Oryzias latipes: one gene and its partner. The protein of the gene in region 1 purifies or fractionates together with the protein of each later gene. This does not show direct contact. Links are inferred from orthologs where the notes say so. Each region holds a gene or a part of one and is shown in the gene's direction. Other genes may lie near its edges.

Region 1 (4,914 bases):
AAGAAAGCAGCAAAGATTTATGAAGAGTTCATCAGGGATGACTCCCCTAAACAAGTAAGATAAACAGTCACAAATGCTGCATGTGAAACAGTCATGCAGGAGGCTGTGAGTGTTGTGCATAATGTATGAATTAAATAAATAAAAACTGCATGTTCAGTATGCATTTCTGGTTTGCGATCTTTGCAGGTAAACCTAGATTTCAACACGACAAAAGTCATCTGCCAGAGTTTGCAGCAGCCAGGTCCATCGTGCTTTGTCGTGGCACAGAAGAAAATCTTCAGCCTGATGGAGAACGACTCTTTCTCGCGCTTTTTGCAGTCCGAGCACTACAAAGTTCTCACTGGTGCGGCCTCTAAACCACGCGGTCTTCGGAAACACCGCGCAGCCATGAGGATAAAGTCTGCAGGGGATGAGCTGGAAGTGAAAAGGCTGCAGGATGGCCTTCTGCTCTGGCATGAGCACTGACTTTAGTTGAGCTGATACGTATATGCAAAATGTCACACAGGCAGATGTGGTGCTGTGACATTCATGTAGGTACCTCCACATTTGCAGCACCATAACTCGGCCCAGCAAGTTAACAACTGGAAATGACTAAAAGCAAAAAACAAAAAAATTCCAGTGATAACACACATTTAAGCAGAATTGTTTTTGAATGAAATACTATTTATGAAAATATATTTTTTATATATATCTGTTTTTTGTTTAGTTGCTGGGATGAAACTCATTTTTGTGACCTGACAGTTGATTTGATTAAGTGTGCTATCTAGTGGTGTCTTGGGGGAAGTACAAGCAAAATGAAATCATGACCAATTGCTTTTGTGTGTAGATCATTGTAGATCAGTGCTGCAGAATCAGAGAGTATTAACACAATGTTCCATTGATAAAATAAAAGTTTTATTTTAAGTATAATTTGGTTTATAATTTAGTCCCCCCCACCTGTTGTTTTCTTTAATCACGTTGTCACTTTTCCAAGTGATATCAGACCATAAAGGGCACAAGTGGACAACTCCATTATGTATCTGGTTGGTTTTCAAGATTGGGTATGGTAGTTACATGATGACCAGAGAAACCTCCCTAAATGATTGATCAGAAAACATACAAGTGAGTTTTATCGTTCTGTTTTTCAGGTCATTCCTCATCAATTTGTTGCATGTTTAAAGGATCAGTGTGGTACCATTTGGGCAAAATATGGCCACAAGGAGAAAATAAATAAAAAGAATGCAGAAGACTGTTGTAAGTGAAGATTCTGACTACACGGGACAGCTACATGAAAAAATGAGATGCAAAGTTTATGCAAACTTTATGACGATATCAACATGTAGGTATATCTAAAAAGAACAGAGAAGCAAGTGGCAGAAAAGAATAATTTTGATTGTTTTTCTTCCCCACATATGTATGATACCCCTCTTTCTGCTGTCATTTGTCAGTATTGGTTGACTATGACATAAATGCTTCAAAAACTAACACATTAAAACGTTAAAAAAATAACCTGGAGGTTAGATGAGCATTAAACATGGAGCTAAAATGGAAAATGTAAAAATAACAGCAGAAGTGACAGTAGATTTCCATCTAAATGTTTGCTAGAGCAAACCTGAGAATCAGGAGAGATAACTAGGATATTTGAGTCTAGTGTAAATGATCATTAAGATCAGTATCGGCACCAATCACAAGTGGGAGAAATATAAAACTCGTTCTTCTTTTGTTCTTGTTTAGGTTTAGAGCTTATAACGTTAACAAATGAATGAAAGCTTTTTAATTAAATATGCATTTTTCCAGCACATCACATTTTGCGTTATGTCGTGTATTTTTGGGCACATTAACATAAAAATAAAATGTACAAAACATTGTAAAATTCCACAAAAATAAAAATCCCAGAATTCTCAGCGCCTTTGCCGAATGAACTGTTCTGCGCCTGCGTGTACTCAACTATCTCCCAACAGCCACCGCGGTGCTGCCCCTAAACTCTGCCGCTCCATCGGGAGGCCTCGCAGAATTATTTATTCTGCGTCCTAACTTCATTTTTTTGCATTTTCCCCGCGGTATGTCCGTGTCTATGTCATATAGTAGACGGTATATATTTTGACTGTTTGAAGAAATAATATGTTGACTGTGAACTTACCGTTTTCATTTAGTGAGTCAGCAGACAGCTAATCAACCGTTGGTTTACTCTAGACTAGAGTTCAGCTCAAATCGCTGAAGTTAAAGTTTTGGCTAAAAAACAAATTAAGCAAATATTTTGTGTATTTTCTGAACATATTAGTCAAGATTCTTTACTTGTCTAATACTGTTACCTTATTGTTTTTTATATTTTGAAGAGAACGTTATAATAATGTTAGCAAACTCGTCAGAACTAGCTTAGTTTGAAAACGCCGTAGCTGGAGAGTCAGTTGTCCTAACCGCCTCAAACATGCAATTCGCTTTGGTCTGCATTATCTCAGTAACTGAGTCTTGCTTTCTTCCACCTATCATTATGGTCCCTAATCGGCTTTAGTCTATTTTTGCCTATCAGTAAAGCTATCAGTAAAGAAATGTTACTGGACGTCATTCGTTCTGGTGCTGTTTGCTGTTGATCGCGAGAAAAAAAAGCTGACGTTTGACCAGCTACCCCCACCACAAAAAAAAAAAACAAGTCAAACTTCCTGTGAAATTCCATACTCTGTGTTCTCTGCAGGCTCCATCTTCGTTTACCTCTGTCTCAGACCTTCCAGTTTCTCAATGGAGCCCCCGGCAAACTCTACAAACAATCACACAAGTGCTGAGGATCCATGGGAGATCACGGACAAAATCCGACTGCGGCGCTTCCTCTGCTACGGCTCAGAGGGAGACATTTTCACTGCCAAAGGTGAGAGCCACGTCAGCGTGGACAATGCTGAGGCCCTGCTCTCCTTACTTCAAGAGGAGGAGGGTGGTGCTGAAGTGGTGGAGGAGATCAGAAGGTTTGTGCAGAAGGGGCTGGCCGTTCGATTAGGCCCCACTTTTTTTGCCCTGGCTTTATGCTCCCAGCACTCCAAGCTAAATACCAGAAAGGCAGCATTCAAAGCACTGAAGGACATTTGCTCGGACCCTGCCCATTTGTTTGCTGTTATTCAGTACAAAAAGGAACTGAGAGAAAGGATGGAGTGTGGGATCTGGGGGCGCGCCCTGAGGAAGGCGGTGTCAGACTGGTATAATAAGCAAGATGCCATGGCTCTAGCTGCAACTGTGACTCGATGTAGGCAGAGAGAAGGCTGGTCACACAAGGATCTTCTCAGACTGTCTCACACCAAACCATCCACAGAAGGTGAGCTTTTTATTTTTAGTTGTTGTAGAATGGTTACATAGAAATATCCCGATCGGATTTTTTTTTTGTGCCCCCAATCAGTCGTTTGATTTTGAGGATCTGCTGATACTATTGTAACACATAAAAAAAAGAACAAATATAATAAACATATCCAGATTCTCATCTATTCTTATTAAACATATTTCTTTTATCAGTTAACACTTAAACAAGAATGTCTAGGAAATAGCTTGAACAACCAAGCAACAACAATAGTTAAAAATGAACTTGTAAAAATAGGGGACAATAAGTCAAGTGAAAAAGTTTGGTGTCTGTAGCATTAGTATTTTTAGAACCCTTGAACATTTATGGTCATATGTGATTTATATCGCCATTAAAAGCAATGACTTCTATAATCATTGTAGCAAGAAAAGGACGATGAGCATTCATGACTAGCTCATAGTTTATTTGATTTGGTTGTTTTTGAGTGATTATGAATTTTTATCTATGATCACCTTTTCCTGGAGCCATCTCTCCGATTATTCCTCATTGAAGGGTTTTGTTTGCATTAGGAAAAACGAATAGACACTTGCTGTCAGTTCAAAACGTTTATTCAAAGAGTTATTTAGCCCAGAATTTGTGAATAGTTTGCTAACACTTTTATCTGCTCCAAATAGTGCCATATTCTGCTGCACTATAAAATGTCATGATCCAGTCATGATATGTAGGCTTCTACATGGGCATTTACTTGAAGGAAGCTTGAAATATGTAGCACTGGTCATGATGGTAATAGTTAAAAGATCCCATCCCTGATCGGGATACAACATCGGATTTGGATAGCCTGAAACTACGTGATCGGCCCCGATTCCCGATCAGATCGGTACATACCTAGATACATAGCAGGTAGCCTTTTTGAGTTCTTGCTAAAACCTTTTTGTGTACTGTAGCCATGCGCTCTATAAACATGAATGACAGTTTGGTACGTATTTGGTGCAAAATTTTATAGACATAAATTAAACCAACATGTTTAAAATATAGCCAACTTTCTAAACATTTGGGATTTTGTAACTTTTTAAACTCAAGATTTGCCAGAGGTTATAATGTTCCTGCTTGAAAATGATTCTAATGTCTGTCCCGGTTTGCAGCCGTTGCCCTGATCAGCAAATATGTAACAAAAGGATGGACGGAGGTCCAGGCCTACTATGCAGACAAAGAAAACTCTGACGAGGTGGTCAAAGTGCTCTCATACCTGGAAGCGGTAGAGAAGGTGAAGCACAGTTGTGATGAAACGGTGGTCATTAATCTAATAGAGGAGCACAAGCTGGAGATGGAGCAGCTGCTCACAGAGAACCTGAAATCCAAGCAGGTGAGATGTTTTCACATATGAGGTTTCTTCTGGGATTTTTGCAAATAAGCTTCCGCTTCACCAACTTGACACACAAGAAAATCATTTGGAAAATTTGCATTTTATTTTCTTATGAGTTTTTTTTTTTTTCCTACGCCTCCTGGTGTAGCTGCAGAAAAAGTAAAGAACCCAACAACATCCCTGCATGCGTCTAATGTGGGAATGCTGATGTCGTTGCATCTTTTTTGAAGGTATGGAGATCTCTGTTGAAGGACATGCCTCTCCATTCGGTGCTGAAGATCCTGGGGAGGAT
Region 2 (3,586 bases), on another chromosome or scaffold:
CTCATGTTCGACTTAGTTCTTTGGTGATGGTTGTTACATTTGTGGCTTTTCCAAATATTGAAACTATTTTAACATGTTTCTTGCAGGGAAGCCTACCACGAAATGAAGGCAAAAGAGAAAAAACAGTTCAAAGTGGAGACCAAAGCTAAAGCCAGACAGTAGGAACGCCTGCTTTATATACTTATTGGTAGCTTTTATTTTGAAAACTGAATCTCATTTAATACTTTTTTTTTTCTTTAGGGAAAGGGAGCAACAACAAAAAAATGCTGAAGAAACAGAAATGGTAAGCTGCCCCGAGTTTATACAAATACTTGACATATGTGTGAATAATGCACATTATTTAAATGCATAGTTTTTTTCCATTTCTGCACCAAAAATGCTTGGCTGAAATTACTACGTTTTTTTCGGTAAAACTGTCGTTTTCTAGAACAAAGTTTCTGCAGAGCGACAATAGTTTATTAGAAATTCATCGCAGTTGTTGGTGAGAAGTAAGCCCACGCTAACATGTAAGCCTCCCACCACAGCCCCCCACAACCCCAACCGAACATTAGCAGTGAAACAAAAATGCAGAGCAATATCTGAGCTATCCAGCGGAACAGTTTGGATCCAGATTCCAGCTCAGACGAGGAAAACAAAGACATTCATGGATCCATTTGTCTGCAAGTGGATGCATCAGAATGGAGCAGAGCAGGAAGCTTGTGGCCCTCTAATTGTAGTTTCCACCCAACAATCTACAATCTGCACCACGGGGGCGGCCGTGGTGCAGCGGTAGGGCGGTCGACCCATGATCATAAGATTGCAGGTTCGATTCCCGCCTTGCACGCCCATGTGTCGAAGTGTCCTTGGGCAAGACACTGAACCCCACCTTGCCTCTGGTGGGAGGTTGGCGCCAGTGTTCGGCAGCGGAGCTGCCGCCAGTGTGTGAATGTGTGTGTGCATGGGTGAATGGGACTGTGACTGTAAAGCGCTTTGGGCCTTCGTAAGAAGGTAGAAAGCGCTATATAAGTATACGCCATTTACCATTTACCATCTTTTTCAAACTACTTTTTTTTCCCCGTCTGCTCCTGATTCACCACAATTTGAATAAATACTCAAAAAGGCAGTTTTAATTTTCTTTATAAAAGTCCTCCATCTTGAGAAAAATGCTACAAGAACATGTTCAAAACACAATTTTCACTGAAGTGGGTCTTCATAAAATAAAGCTTCTTAAATTCTCAACTGGTTTTACGTTGATCTGCTTTTATAGGGACGTCTTTTGGAGGAACAGACGGGTTGTCTGCTGAAATTTTCTGGGGAGCTTGAAGACGTGTCAAGAGAAGATTTTCACAAACTGTTTTCAGGCCATGGAAACATTAAGTGGGTTGACTTTGCCAGAGGGGCCAAGGAGGTAAGCTAGCTTAGTACGAATAACATTAGAAAGGTCAAGTCCACAAGACTGTTCTTTTCAGCTTTTTTTTCCCAAAAAGGGCACCCTCCTTTTTGATGGAAATGCCAAGGAAGCCTTTGAAAAAGCCAAAGAAGCAAATGGGGGGGAACTGAAAATCAAGGACAACGTTGTTACGTGGGAGCTGCTGGAGGGAGACGAAGAGAAAGAAGTGATGAAGAAAATCATCGGAGCTCAACAAGAATCATTTAACAGATCTAAAGGAAGGGGTAAGTTCTTTATCTTCTGACCTAATGTGTCAAAAAACTCAAACCTTTTAAAGTTAAATTGTTTATTAATGTTGCTTTTTTGACTTACAAGGAGGAAGAGGACGATCAGGTGGGAGAGGAAGAGGAGGCTGGAGGGGAAGAGCTGGGAAAGGTCAAGGCAGAACTCCGTTCCAAGGAAAGAAGACAAAGTTTAACAGTGATGACGAGGAGGAGGAAGATGGTATGTTTAATGCAAGTAAAAACTTAATTTCTATTTTTTATAAATACAACATTAGTCTGTTTTCTGCTCTTCTTTCAGCTCCTGCTCCCCAAAAGAGAGAACTCGAAGACGGTGATGGCCCTGCAGCAAAAGTTGCCAAAACTGAAAATGGATCTTAATGACGAGAAAGCAGTTTTGTTTTTTTTATTCAAAACATTTATTACAAATAGACAAGTTAAATCCATTCCAGTGAAAGCTTCAGGCCTTGGAGAAACGTAGGAAGTCCACCTGAATATCGACCTAGAAGAAGAAATGTAAAGCTTAGGTTCAGTTTGCAGCCTTCAAGTTTATGTTGTGCCTCTCAAATTATTTGGATGATTTTCCTCTGAAGAGATTTTGTTTTTAGTCAACATAAACCTGCTTTCAACAATAATTTAATTTCTCCAGAATGTTTTAGTTGCTTTTTTTCTTTTCCTTTTTTTTAAAGACGTGTGATATTTGCAACGTATGTGCCGCATTGTTTTGTGTTTGTAGACTTCCTACACTGAGAAAATATGTACTTGGTTATTTTTTTTAAGTAAGCATATGAGAATAGAAAATAAAACATTTATAAAAACAAACAGACCTGCTTTTATTCTGACAGTGCGTGTGTTTAAAGGTTTACCGATTTCTTTTTGTGAAACTTGTAAGATGCTGGCAAATCATATCGTAGCTCTGAAGAAGAAGAAAAAAGTTTATTTATTTGGAGAGTTTAAAGAAATGTTTGACCTTGAACTTTACTGACCTGCAATGACTTCCATTTTTACTCCCCAATCTTTAGCCTTTTTTTGTATGTGCTGGAAATGGATAAAGAATAATGTCAAATTCTTAAAGATTCAGAAAAAAAAGACCAGGAAACATTGGAAAGCAGCTGAACTCGCCTCCCGCGTTGAAGTCTTGTGAAGCGAATACACGGCCGTTTCTGCCATTGTCAAAGCAGCTCTGAGAAACTTCATGTCCATACCTTGAAGCAAGGCCACATGGAATTAAATTTACATGCAAGCAGCGTGCCTGAGTACAATACATTTTCAGAAACTTAAAAAGTCCATTAGAAAATTGAACCAAGTAAAATTTCACTGTTTTTAGGGTTTTGGTAGTTAATCTGCCATCAAATTATATAGCCATTCTTGATGTCTAACACACAAGGTTAATTTTCTAAACATTTAATTTGATTTATTTCAGGCATTGTAGTCAAATCAATTAAGGATTTACCCACGTTTATCAAACTCATAACAGAAATGATCAAATGCATAGATTAAAAAAATCACTTAAATCACATATGCTTAATTAAAAACAGTGATCATTAAAGTCAAGTAGAGCTTGATTTATTGCTTGACAAGGAGTGAGAAGAAGCGATCTTATATAATCCCACCCCTACCGAGTTAATTCATTTTAAAATCCAGTTCTGATCAGATTCTTTCCAAGTAACAAAATCCAGTGTCTAGAAATGATTATTGTCAGAAAATATTCATTCATGATTTCAGTCAACAGTAACTGTTATGTAATAATCATTGATTATTATTAGAACACATTATCACATTAAATCAGTAATGATTGCTACACATGCAGATAAAGTAAAAAAAAATCAAGAGCTTATTAATTGTAATTAAAACATTTCAGTTATCATTAATGCACAATGTAAAACCCATTGGTTGTAACTAAAAGAGCTTTGATTATTTCTCTTCATTCAAGTTC

What was found. Proteins that work in one complex are often made in the same cells at the same time.
Region 2: the proteins of trove2 (region 1) and ssb purify together in Homo sapiens (affinity purification with mass spectrometry; 3 studies listed by BioGRID and IntAct, with this or other methods). This does not show direct contact. The link is inferred for Oryzias latipes from reciprocal best matches to the Homo sapiens genes RO60 and SSB.

Annotation. Positions count from the first base shown.
Region 1 is NC_019875.2:16,903,106-16,908,019, forward strand, and holds the start of trove2 (60 kDa SS-A/Ro ribonucleoprotein), read left to right. Parts: upstream 1-1,902; 5' UTR 1,903-2,039; intron 2,040-2,671; 5' UTR 2,672-2,715; coding exon 2,716-3,280; intron 3,281-4,401; coding exon 4,402-4,622; intron 4,623-4,852; coding exon 4,853-4,914. Other genes in the region: regulator of G-protein signaling 21-like, read left to right, coding at 1-54, 187-465. UniProt on the Homo sapiens protein: RNA-binding protein that binds to misfolded non-coding RNAs, pre-5S rRNA, and several small cytoplasmic RNA molecules known as Y RNAs.
Region 2 is NC_019879.2:21,752,540-21,756,125, forward strand, and holds the end of ssb (lupus La protein), read left to right. Parts: intron 1-86; coding exon 87-158; intron 159-240; coding exon 241-283; intron 284-1,246; coding exon 1,247-1,387; intron 1,388-1,466; coding exon 1,467-1,653; intron 1,654-1,744; coding exon 1,745-1,873; intron 1,874-1,951; coding exon 1,952-2,031; 3' UTR 2,032-2,110; coding exon of another isoform or gene 2,111-2,152; 3' UTR 2,153-2,472; downstream 2,473-3,586. Other genes in the region: mettl5 (methyltransferase-like protein 5), read right to left, coding at 2,111-2,152, 2,517-2,566, 2,637-2,688, 2,773-2,855. UniProt on the Homo sapiens protein: Binds to the 3' poly(U) terminus of nascent RNA polymerase III transcripts, protecting them from exonuclease digestion and facilitating their folding and maturation.